Linked DNA regions of Nothobranchius furzeri. The protein of the gene in region 1 interacts with the protein of each later gene in a biochemical or structural test. Links are inferred from orthologs where the notes say so. Each region holds a gene or a part of one and is shown in the gene's direction. Other genes may lie near its edges.

Region 1 (4,094 bases):
GAGATATGCAGCTCTAGGATGAGAAGAGGCTTCATGAGAGTGGCAGTTATATCTTGAAACCTCCTCTGGACTCTCTACAGCTTCTATTTGCTGCAACTTTTGACTTCATCTTAATCAACAATCAAAAAAGAACCAGTTGCTTAAGGGTCACAGCTGGAGATGTGAAGCTGAATGATGCTGGAACTGGACCAGTTCTGGTTTCACCAGCTCTTTATGCCTGTACAAAAACAAACAACCATGATCAGATTGGATCTTCTCAGGTTTTAGGTACTTAAAAGATTTCATATGGTTTTTTATTGGACCATGTTCCTGGATTAACCAGACCCAGAGATTCTGTCTCAGTGGGGGATTCCTCACATCTCAATACATCTCCTGAGGAGTGCGTCAGATGTTCACGTTCAGGTTCAGATAAAGCTATAGGACCAGTTCAGATTCTGCAGAGCCTAAAGATTGATCCCAGGAACCCATATCACAAATGTTCAGAGATAGTTCTGATGGGTTCTGTGGTTCTATGATTGTGATGTGTTTATAGTAAGACAAGTCTTTATATGTGTCTCGGATGTCAGTGAGACAGAGACACATGTCCTCTCAGGGAGACAATCAGATGGGGACTATGTGGTTAAAATATCACTCTTTATTTACAACGAAATAATAGACTTATTACAACTATTTGGGCTAATTTCTAATTTTACATGTTGTACTAAAATGATACTCATTAAAACAAACACACTATCTTTATGACGAGGAAATGGCATTTTAACCGACCCTTATTTATGCTAACAGGAGTTATGCTAATGTAGCCAACAGCGTTACCATGGAGACCACCAGCTATGCTAGCAGAACAGAGCTAACAGCATCTCTGTCATGAACACAGGATCCAGCGGTTGTTTTTGAAGGAGAAAAGGTCCTTCAAAGGTCTCCAAGATGGTGCGAGATGTTCTGGATCTCTGCTCGGTTCTATACGGTCTGAAACGAACCAGAACCAACATCAGACCAGACGGTGTCTGTCTGCGTCCGACAGAGGGCGCTGCATCCCGCATTTTACACGCACACACACACGCGCGCGCGCGCGCGCGCGTGTGTGTGTGTGTTTGTGTGTGTGTGAACGCGCGCACATACACAGAGGTATGGCAGGCATTTACTTACGCGCATAAAAACATGCGTGCGCACACACAGGACTCTTTTGTGAAACAAACAAAAGTTTTATTCTAATTTAATTCTGGTTAATTTACCTTTTTTTAAGTAAACGAAACATCAGTCAAGCGTTTTGGTTCCGATGGGGTGGTGCAGTTCGGGAGACGATCCGCATCAGGTGATCAGAACCTTTAGTCTAGGAGCGAGACCCAAACTCCTTAAACAACACTTGGGATCATGATCGGTTCCGAGAACCTGCAGGGTTCTGTTGTCCCACCCGGGTCCCGGAGGGGTTCGAGTCAGACAGACTGAAGGAGTGTGGTGTTGTCCCCGCCCACCCATTCCAACTATAAAACCGCTGTTTGACAGCTCGGAGGTTACTGAGGACCAGGAATCGGACCGGCAGCTTCTCTTCGTTCCAACACAAAGTGTCAGTCAGTCCTAAAGACTCTGGTTCCGGTCGGCTCCTGTCCGCAGCGGTCCGACTCACCTGAGTGTGTGACTTTCCAAACTGGATTTCCGGAGCTCCTCGCCATGCCCGCCCGGCTTTAGGTTCTCCATGGAGCTCTCGAACCTGTACGAGGTCGCGCCCCGGCCCCTGCTGAGCAGTCTGCCCCACGGCCAGCAGCCCCCCTCCGGCTATAGAGACCCGTCTGACCTCGGGGGGGAGATCGGAGACAACGAGACCTCCATAGACCTGAGCGCCTACATCGATCCGTCTGCCTTCAACGACGACTTCCTGGCGGACCTGTTCCACCACAACTCGCGACAGGACAAAGTCAAGATGATGAATGGAGAGTATGACTGCGGTCCGGGTCCACAGCAGCTCTACATGCCTAACTACATGGAGTCCAAGCTGGAGCCGTTCTACGAGCACAACCCGCCGCGCCTCCGACCGGTGGCCATAAAGCAGGAGCCCCGGGATGACGAGGACCTGAACCCGGGCATGCCCCCTTCCTACCACCACCCGCACGCGCATCCTCAGCAGTACCAGCAGCAGCAGCAGCCGCAGATGCCGCACCTGCAGTACCAGATTGCGCACTGCGCGCAGACCACCATGCACCTCCAGCCGGGCCACCCGACGCCTCCACCGACTCCAGTGCCGAGCCCGCACCATCACCACACGCACCAGCACCTGCAGCAGGGCGGCATGAAGCTGCTCGAGCAGCGGGGAGGCGGGAAATCTAAGAAACACGTGGATAAGAGCAGTCCGGAGTACCGGCTGAGGCGCGAGCGCAACAACGTGGCTGTGCGTAAGTCTCGGGACAAGGCCAAGATGCGGAACCTGGAGACCCAGCAGAAGGTGGTGGAGCTGACGACCGACAACGAGCGGCTCAGGCGGAGGGTGGAGCACCTGACCCGGGAGCTGGACACGTTACGGGGCATTTTCAGACAGCTGCCGGACGGGTCGTTCAAACCCATGGGCAGCTGAGAGATCTGAATCGGACTGGACCGGAGAGTGCTGGATTTGTTTAGAGACAGAAGCAGCTGAGTTCTCAAAACAGCTGCACATATGCAGAACTTTTGGGTCAAGGAGCAGAAAACTTAACAGACCCGGTTCGGTTCCGGATGATTTTAATCTTCAGAGCAGCAGAACGGAACTCTTCCATCAACAAACTGAACCCGTTGGAGACTTTTAACTTGTTTGTTTGTTTATTTGTTTGTCGTGTTCTCGTGCCTTTAACGTTTGTGCAAAAGCCGATAAGCTGAATCAGATGTTCAGTGCCTTAAACAGACTGAGTCCAGAACCACTCAGAACATTTCAGTGCAGCTACGATGAGGTTAGTGCGGGACCAGCCTGCGTGCACGACGCCTTCATTACAGAATTTTATTTAATCACAAACGATCTCATGTACGGAACCAAACCGGACCGAAACCTGTTTCTGAGCTGTTTGCTTGGCTGAACTGTGTTTTGCAGGTGATTGGCTGTTGACACCACGTGGTATCAAACTCACCTTCACACTTGCCAGAGATAAACTGTCTGGGGAGTTTGGGTCAGAGCCAGAACCCATGTTTAATAAAACTAGTTCTGAATGACCCTAGCAAAGCCAGGCTGAGGGTTGTTCGGTACTGAAACCGTTACAAACAGAACCGCCAAAGCCCTGCAAGCCCAACCCTGACCCTGTTCAGACTGAAGCTCTCATGCACTAAAGCCAGATACATTGTGGGACATGGGGAGGCAGTGATGGTACTGATCATGGGGAGGGGGTGTACTGATACAGGTTCTGGACAGAACCCAACAGAACTACGCCCCTCTAAACATGTTTTATTGTGATCAGAACAGCTAAATGTGAACCAGGTTTCAGCATCACTCTTCATCTTCCTGCTTGTTGCAGTCATCTTCACTCAGTGCCTTTTGATCGCTCAGATGACCTTTGACCTTTGTCCGATCCCTCAGATGGTTCTCTGACTTGTTCCAGGGAGGAAGAAAGAAGCACTTTGTTGTTTATTTCTGTAATATAAACATAAAATATAAATGAAAAACCAAAATCTGAAGTAATAAAGAAACTTGTTTTATCAAATTTGGTTCTGGTGTTCTTCTGAGAGTGTTCGGCTCTATGTGCACACACACACACACACACACACACACACACACACACACACACACACACACACACACACACACACACACACACACACACACACACACACACACTAAGTCAAAGATATTCATTTTTACTCTAAAACCAGCTGCTTAATGAGGCGTCAGACAGCTGATCTACTGGTTCCAGCTTCTGTTTCCTGTGTATTTAAATGATTATTATTCCCTCAGTTTGTGCTTTAAGGTTCTGTTTGTGTCATGACTCTGCTGCAGGCGACCTGCCATCATGTCGTAAAATCGGAACTCCCTCAGATGTTCCGAAGGAACTTCAATAATCCCTCAGGAAGGTTCCTCTGGAAAATTCAGCTTCCAGCAGCGGCACACAGAAAAGTTTCAACAACAAGACGAACAAAGGAGC
Region 2 (4,233 bases), on another chromosome or scaffold:
TCGCTCTGCAGTAAAAAAAAAATACAGCATTCACTACTGGGTTGGAGAGCGCATTTTCAGAGTGGCAGATTAAATTTACAAACGCTATATTAATTGGGGGTGTTTCTGAAAATGTGCTCTGCAGTTAGAAAATTAGAATGCTGCTTTTTTTTTCCTAATTGCACAAGAGCGCATTTTCAGAGCAGATAAAATTTACAAACGCATCCAATTAATATAGTGTTCGTAAATTTCATCTGCTGCTCGAAAAATACGCTGTTAGAAAAAAAAGCTGCATTGAATGCTGTTTTTCTTTCTTTCCTTTCTTTTTTTTTTTTTTTTTTTTTACTACGGAACGCTTCCCACAGATAATTAGAATGCTGAGCCTTCTATCACGCTAAAACATCATGAAAGGTTAAAGAAAAAAAGTCGGCCTCGGGCTCGGGTTGGGCCAGAGAATCCTGAAAACTTTTTCGGACTGGTTTGGGCTGGGGCTCCACCCCCTCGGGCCGGGCGGACACGGGCTCAGATTTTAGGCCTGTGCAGGGCTGTAGTCCCAATTCTTTGCCCCCCCCCCCCCCCCCCCCCCCCCCCCCAATAATTGTTTACATTCTCCAACCACAACTAAAACTACAATGAAGACAGTTTAGGTGGAAAACAAAGTCATTTAAATTATTGATAAATTAAGATACAATAATGCTTTTAGTTATTTTAGAGTGCATCTGGCCCGTCTACTGTAAAAACCTCAGGACCAAACTTGGTTGAGGACTCCTGTTCTAAGGTAAAGAAATTAATTAAATGTTTAAAAAACTAACAATGGCAACTTTAAACTTATATGATGGTAGGCTAAAATGGAATTAATGTTTGTGAAATTAGATCTAATTGACAAGAAAATAATTTTATAAACACATTTTTTACAAACAAAAGCACTCCACATCCCTCTAAGATGACGTCAGGGTACGTCATCCATTTTGATCATGTGACCAGTGAGGGCTGCTCATTTAGTGTCTCCGTCTCATCCCAACTTCTGGTGATTTCTAACAACACGTTAAATTTAACAAACACCAGAAGTACTTTTGTGAACATTTTTATCTAATCTAAAGCGTTGGATTCATTCATAGCGGTCCCCTGTGAGAACACTGCAAGATAAGCAATAAAATAAAGAGTACAGTGCCACCCATTCGAAATAATCGGTGTATCATGAAGTCAAAAACGAACGCTCCTCTTACAACGCGGGAAACGCCGCTGTGTTGGTTCAGTTTTGTGGACTGAGCTGCGACCGTCGCGCTCCCCTTTTGAATTAATCCACATAATTACTATCGAGGCTGGGCACACATGCCCATATACCTGTTTTTGTGTTGTCGTTTGATCTGAGAGCGTTTCATCTTCTACACGAACCCCCTATCTCCCGCTCGGCTGTTTCCGGACTGGCCGAAGGGAGCCGGGGCGGCGGTTAGTGTCGGTTTGTCCCCGCGTTGCTCCTTAACATCGCCCCTCTGTAGCCACCGAGCCGCTGTCGCTGCTGCTGCTAGCGCGCACACAAAGAGACCAGTATTGCTAAGCAGCTAAACTTTAAACAGTCCCGCTCTTGTAAGCAAAATGGACTCATTTCAGAAAGTGGAGAAGATAGGAGAAGGGACGTATGGAGTGGTGTACAAAGCCAAGAATAAAGTGACCGGAGAAACTGTTGCTCTGAAGAAAATCCGCCTGGACACGTAAGTTAAGAGGCAGGAGTTATCTCCAGAGCTAACGCCGCGCTAAAAACATCCACTAATGCTTCAGATTTTTTTTTTATCCACGACCTCGTGGCTGGTGATCGTCTGCCCACTTCCTGCAACAACAGAAATAAGCGTTTCTCGTTAAACTGTAATTATTCAGTGCCTAATATAACCTCCACACAGGACTAAGTGACGTAGCATCCTTGGATATAACCCTGTAGGTTAGCTGGATATGTTTGTTTATGTTTATGCTTATGTGCTTAGCAGACGCTTTTACCCAAAGCGACTTACAATTTTTTGCAAGTCGCTTTGGGTAAAAGCGTCTGAGCAAGTGAAATATGTAACTATTTAAGGGAATTTTTCATTGTCTTGTGTTTTAGTCTACGATCAGATGTTACTAGTGAGTGATCAGAAGTAGTTTTCTGACTCTACATTGAATGCTATTCTGTTTCATTCCTTTGGTTGATTTATTAGTTGAATGGACATGTTTTATAGTTTTGCTGCTGTAGGAGGGTACCTTTCAGTATCTCAAGCTGTCAAACTACCAACATACCCAAACTTCAGCACTCTGAAAAAAGCATTTGGATCCTTATCGATGTCTTCCAACACAAATACCAGAGATGATCAAAGTAAAAACAGAAAGCAGTTTTCAAATGATGATTTAATTTATTTATTAAGGAAACAAACAACCAATCAACACCCTTAGCTGCATAAACATCCATCAAGCATCTGTGAGAACTAATAACAAGGCTTACATTGCTGTGAAGGATTCCTAGACCACATTTTTTTGACATTGTTTTATTCCAGCCAAACGAGTGGGTTGACATGTTTGAAGTCATGGTTCCATCAATTACAGTAAGTGGTCAAGGTCCTGAAGCAGCCCCAGACCATCACTCTGCCACCACCGTGTCTGACTGTTGGTATATTGATGTGTTTCTGAAGTTAGTTTTTCACCAAAATAGTCTCACCACTCCAGAGAATATTTTCAAAAAAGTCTCAAAGATGCTGTTGACTGAAAAACCATTTTAAATATGTTTTTCCTGATTATGGTTACTGAGTTTTTCATGCAGACTGAACATGAAAATAGTCTCCCACACCTTTCTCCTGCATTAGCTTCTGATAGAAAATAGACGGTGAAACTAGAATTAGAAAAGCCTGACAGATCTACGTCACACTGAATAACATTCATGGACTCACCCATCTTGGGTGTTGTTGGATTAGTGTCCAGTAAATTTTTTGTTCTAGTGTCCAGGAAACAGCAGAGAACTTCTCAGCTAATTCAAGCTAACCTTTAGCATTAGCAATGCCACCACACAGCCGAAGTTCCTCCAGCCTTGTGTTATTTGTGGAGATAAAATGTCTATGTTGCAAATCAGTGGTCGAGTTGCATTGCTGTTGTCCGATCCGGAGTGAGATGTCCAAATATCAGGAAAAAGACTCCAAATCCTGCCATCAGAAGGTCTGCTGTGATGTGGGCAAATTTTAGGTCAGAAGAATGGTGCACTGGGATATTTCTTCCCCCTGCAAACAACTTACTCGTCATTTATTAGTACTAGAGACTACTACAAAAATGCATTGATTAAACAAGTGTTCCACTTTCTAAAATATCATCAAGATGCTCTTTGGAGACGGTGAGATGGGTCTTTGTGTGGTCACCAGAGATGTTTTACGGAACTGTCCCATAGAGGCTTTTTTGTCTCATCTCTTTCTTATTGTTGAATTTGACCTTAAACTAGCAAAGGCACCATCTGCTGCTGTGTGGGATCATTTAGCGTACTCGATAGCCATGTTTCCACTATTGAAGTTCCAGGAAAACACAATGGATCAGTGTTTTCAGCCGTTGTGTCTGTACAAAATCAGCCTTTTCAGGACTTTGCAAATACGTCAGCATATCATCAGCATGTTTGCAATGAGTGACGTCACTGATCAGCGCGTCCATAGACAATTAAAACATTTTAAAAGTGTAAGAATATAGTAAGAATTTTACAGTGAGAAAGTCCCAAAAGAGTCTAATGTTTCAGTCATTTTGGAAGAAAGGTTACACTGAAACATATTTCATATCCAGCTGGTTGTGGGGATTGCCACTTTTTCTCCATTCAAAACAAAAGGAGGGTCGTAACTACTGTTTACCATCAGTGAGTGAGGGGGTGCCATATCTACTGCAAGCTAATACCGCAGCGCCGACAGTTGTAATTTGACAACTGCCGGCAAAAAGCACAGGATAAAATTTTGACTTCATTTCTACATAATGCACCTTTAAAATTTTTATTCCGTCAAAGTACGCCATAATTTAATCCGTTCGAGGTTAGGGTTGCAGGGATTAACCGGTTTGACTGTTAACCTCGGTTAACTCCCCGTACAGACGTATCCAACACCATCTATAAAAACAATAAAAAGACAATATGGCGTGAGCCGTTAGGACGAAAACAAAAGCGAAAATGAACGCGAGCATGCAGCAGAAGCAGTGACAACAACCATCGGGACCATTTGGGATATGAGGAGAGCAGCTGCGTGACATGAAAAGCATTTTGCGTTTTAC
Region 3 (4,202 bases), on another chromosome or scaffold:
ACTCGAGGACCGTAAGTGCGGCCAGAAGAGTGAGGGATTAAAAGGTCTGACAAATATTGTGGAGCTTGTCCATTAAGAGCTCTAAAAGTCAGAACTAAATTGAATGTCATCCGCATATAAATTTTTAAATCAATTCTAAACTTGACCGGTAGCCAATGTAAAGAATATAAAACCGGTGTTATGTGAGCCCTTCTATTGGTTCCTGTTAAAAGCCTTTCTGCAGCGTTCTGGACCAACTGGAGACGACTGACATCTGATTTGTTAAAACAAGTAAAGATAGAATTACAATAATATAAACGAGAAGAAATAAAAGCATGGATAATCATCTCCAAGTCCGATTTTGAAGTAAAAGCTCTCAATTTGGAAATGTTTCGCAAATGATAAAAAGCAGTTTTTTACTAAACGTTTTGAGTGGCAGCTCAAAGACATGGATTGGTCAAGAAGAACACCAAGGTTTCTGAGACTGGTCTGGACTGAGGAGCTCAGGGAACCGAGGTGTTTGATTAAAAGCACTTTCTGTTCAGGAGCAATGATCAGTGTTTCGGTCTTGCTTGAGTTCAACTGAAGACAGTTACTGGCTAGTCCTTAATATGCTCAATGCAATCAAGTAGATCAGCTAACTTGTTAAACTCTGTGTCCTTGAAAGAGCAGTACAGTTGAATGCCATCTGCATATAAATGGTAGGACACTTTAGTAAAGCTTTTAATAATCTCCCCAAGAGGGCAAATATATAAAAGGAACAAAACTGGGCCAAGGACCGAGCCCTGGGGAACACCGTGAAGCAAAAATGTGACTTCAGACCTAATCTTGTTTACACATACAGAGAATGTTCTGTTATTTAAATAGGAAGAAAACCACTTCAGAACCGTACCAGAAATTCCTAGGACATTGTGTAGTCGATGTAACAGAATTTTATGGTCAACCGTGTCAAAAGCTGAAGACAAATCCAATAAAACCAGTACAGTACATGGGCCAGAGTCAGTACATCATTAGATACCTTTAACAGAGCTGTTTCAGTGGAACAGTGCATCTTACGAAAGCCTGATTGGAACTTATCTAAAACATTATTAAGATAAGATGACTGCTTAGCTATTTGTGTTAGCAAGCAGTTCATCAAGTGTTCTTAAGGAAATGACCAGCGACTGTGAACGCTGCACCTCACCGAAGCTCATTTCCTCATTTTTAATTTAATTTTCCACAAAAAAATATTTAAAAATCAATCTTTAATCAATTAACGGCAATTTGGGGGTGGGCAGTGGGGGGGGGGTGCCCCCCTCTGACCTGACTTAGGGGCACCCCTGTTGAAAGTGAGATGACATTCATCTTCTTCAGGAGCTTTTTATTCTAATCACAAGAGGAAGACAAGTTCTCCTGTTTGCTGCTCTAACTGGTGATAAATGGCAACATGAGCTGAAGATCAGAAAATTCCGAGTTTGTTAATGATCGTCTGAAACGTGATGAGGTGTGAGAGGCGGGTCTCATTCCCGGTGGTGCGTTCACGTTCTTGTTTATGTATCAGCGGAATCGCAGAGCTCAGTGCAGGAATGTTGAGACTCTCAACATCCTGATTTCTCTGAAAGGTAAAATCTAGCGTCACCAGACACGCGCACAGTGAGCTGGAGTCGGTGCCGCTACAGGATTGCTCAACGCTTGTGTCATCAGGAGGCTGGACTGGTCGGGCGGAGTGTTTCAGAGCTCATCACCGGAGCTTCTCACTCTCAGCCTCTCTCTGAGTGTGAGGCGGTCTCCCCTCCTCTCCCCCGCTTTCTCTTTCTCTCCCTCTCTCTCTTTTCTTTTTTTTCCCTCCTTGATTGTGGATTTTTTTTCTGATCCAAACCTCAAAAGGAAGAAGAAGGACGCGGTCTGGATTATCAGCCAACGCGTAAAGTTTGATTTGTGCCAGCTATGAGACGGAGTGGGTTCTAACCACCAAGGGACGCATCTTTTTGCTTGATTTTATTCACATCTATATCATTTTATCTTCATGGCGAGCCGGTCGTTCAGGATGAACTTGCCGTGGAGCAGTCCTGCACCCTGCACCCGGAGAGTCGCGCACAAGCGGCTGGACTCGGACGACCAGCCGCCGGCCAAGTGCGCCCGGCTGAGCGCTGAGGCGGGGGACGCGCAGGGACTCCTGGGTACGTCACCCGGGTCCCCGCTCAACCCCGCGGCCAACCCGGCTCCCCACCACCAGGGACCGTCCAGGATAGGTCCGTTCCTCCTGCTGCCGCTCGCGGACCGGGAGAGCATGCACAGTGCGATGAACACCGATACTGGCGATGAGCTGCTGTGCAAGGTATGCGCAATCAGGTCATTGTGCAATTTCTTTGAATGAATGATGTTGCTCAACAGTCCGTCTGACACGCTATCCGTATTTAGCTCACCTTTTCAGCAAAATGTCATCCTCACGCTCCCTTTGCGTAATAATGTTTCTTAATGCTTCCCCCCTTATAACCAGAAGTCTTTTAAATACGCAATCAAGACCAGCCGTCGCCTTTCTGCATGTTGTGGAAACAGTCTCCCATGCTCAGCATTCACACTGTCTCTCAACTCGGCTCATTTGCATACACGTCACTGCCAAGCCGTGACAGTAAAATGCAACATGTTCAGCAGAATAATAATAATGCAAGATTAGAATCTATCCAGATAAAAACTCATATCTGCACCAGTATGAGGCATCAGGTGACGTAATGCATTAAAAAAATCCCAGCCTGATTTAGCTTCAAGTAATGGTGACCGTCATAAGTATTCACGATTAAATATGAATATCTAAATCTAAATATTTAGAATAAAAATCTAAATATTAAGCAATTAATGCAAAATATTTACAATCAAATCGAAACATTATATTTTTAAGGCTAAATTCTAAATATTTACAATGAAATCTAAATATTAAGAAATCAATTCTGAATATTTAGAATCCTGTCTAAATATAAGTTATGTCTAAATATTTAAGACAAAAATCTAAATATTTATTATAAAAATCTAAAATTTAAGCAATGAATTCAAAATATTTAGAATCAAAAATGAATATGAAAAGTTACTTCTAAACATTGAAGTTTCTAACCAAAACATTTATAATCCAATCTAAATAAGTAATCAAATCAAACATTTAGAATACAATTACATTTAGTACATAAAGTTCCATCTAATTAGCAACAATCTAATCAAAATATTTATATTCATGTAAAAATCTAAATATTTAGAATCAAATACAACAACAGTGCTCAAATTCATATACACCTGCAGAATTTTGTTTAAACAATTGTTGCTTTCTGTAAATCCTATAAACTTTGTTTCACATATCACTCCTAAACCCACTTTTTTTTAGGTTAATTCCTTTTCACAAGCCAGAATTCCAACAGTCACATTTTCTAATTGGTGCCCCATACTCCAGATTCTGTTTAGGTTTGCATGAAAACAAAATCCCTGGAGGCCTTTTTGATTATGAATTCAATCATTTAACAAAACACTTTTGCAAAAAGCAGCCGTTGAAAATCATACATGTAATATATATTTATATTTGCCCACTTGTTACCTCCTATGATAGGAAGACTGACTCTTATTGCCTCCTTCCTTCATGTTTCCACTCTGCATCCCTACACCTCCCCTTCCTCCTCTCTGATCTCTCCGCTAGGTCTTTGACATGGCAGCCTACCTGGAGAAGATCAGAGCCTACGGGCTTCTACCAGCTCACAGAAACGTGGCTGGCATCCGGGACATCATCCTTGGTGAACGCAAGGCCTACATCTTCCTGGACAAAGACTTTGGGGACATGCACACCTTGGTGAAGAGCTGTCGCCGGCTGGATGAGGGACACGCCTGCAGGCTCTTCCGCCAGGTGGCTCAGGCTGTGGCGCACTGCCACCAGAAGGGAATCGTGCTGGGTGACCTCAAACTGCGCAAGTTTGTCTTTGCAGATGAGAAAAGGTGAGCCGATCTGATGTTTTCTTTATGGAGGCGAGAACCGTTGTGCTTTTATGTTGATTCAACCAGCAGAAAGCACAGAAGATGACTTTTAGGTTTTTAAATGATCACACACAAAAATTCAGCTTGAATTTCACGTCGAAAGAAGTTCGACCTTTGGGACAAAGTTGGCTGCAATCTGCAAATTTACCACTAGATGTCACTACATCCTGAAAGATGTTCCATGGACGAAAAAACACTAAGATTTGATTTCAACTTTTCTTTCTTTTCTGAGC

The links.
Region 2: the proteins of cebpa (region 1) and cdk2 form a complex in vitro, tested with the Homo sapiens proteins (2 studies listed by BioGRID, with this or other methods). The link is inferred for Nothobranchius furzeri from reciprocal best matches to the Homo sapiens genes CEBPA and CDK2.
Region 3: the proteins of cebpa (region 1) and trib1 form a complex in vitro, tested with the Homo sapiens proteins (2 studies listed by BioGRID and IntAct, with this or other methods). The link is inferred for Nothobranchius furzeri from reciprocal best matches to the Homo sapiens genes CEBPA and TRIB1.

Annotation. Positions count from the first base shown.
Region 1 is NC_091749.1:66,139,114-66,143,207, forward strand, and holds cebpa (CCAAT/enhancer-binding protein alpha), read left to right. Parts: upstream 1-1,294; 5' UTR 1,295-1,693; coding exon 1,694-2,566; 3' UTR 2,567-3,656; downstream 3,657-4,094. UniProt on the Homo sapiens protein: Transcription factor that coordinates proliferation arrest and the differentiation of myeloid progenitors, adipocytes, hepatocytes, and cells of the lung and the placenta.
Region 2 is NC_091743.1:49,088,353-49,092,585, reverse strand, and holds the start of cdk2 (cyclin-dependent kinase 2), read left to right. Parts: upstream 1-1,433; 5' UTR 1,434-1,575; coding exon 1,576-1,691; intron 1,692-4,233. UniProt on the Homo sapiens protein: Serine/threonine-protein kinase involved in the control of the cell cycle; essential for meiosis, but dispensable for mitosis. Phosphorylates CABLES1, CTNNB1, CDK2AP2, ERCC6, NBN, USP37, p53/TP53, NPM1, CDK7, RB1, BRCA2, MYC, NPAT, EZH2.
Region 3 is NC_091759.1:11,616-15,817, reverse strand, and holds the start of trib1 (tribbles homolog 1), read left to right. Parts: upstream 1-1,402; 5' UTR 1,403-1,984; coding exon 1,985-2,296; intron 2,297-3,637; coding exon 3,638-3,930; intron 3,931-4,202. UniProt on the Homo sapiens protein: Adapter protein involved in protein degradation by interacting with COP1 ubiquitin ligase. The COP1-binding motif is masked by autoinhibitory interactions with the protein kinase domain.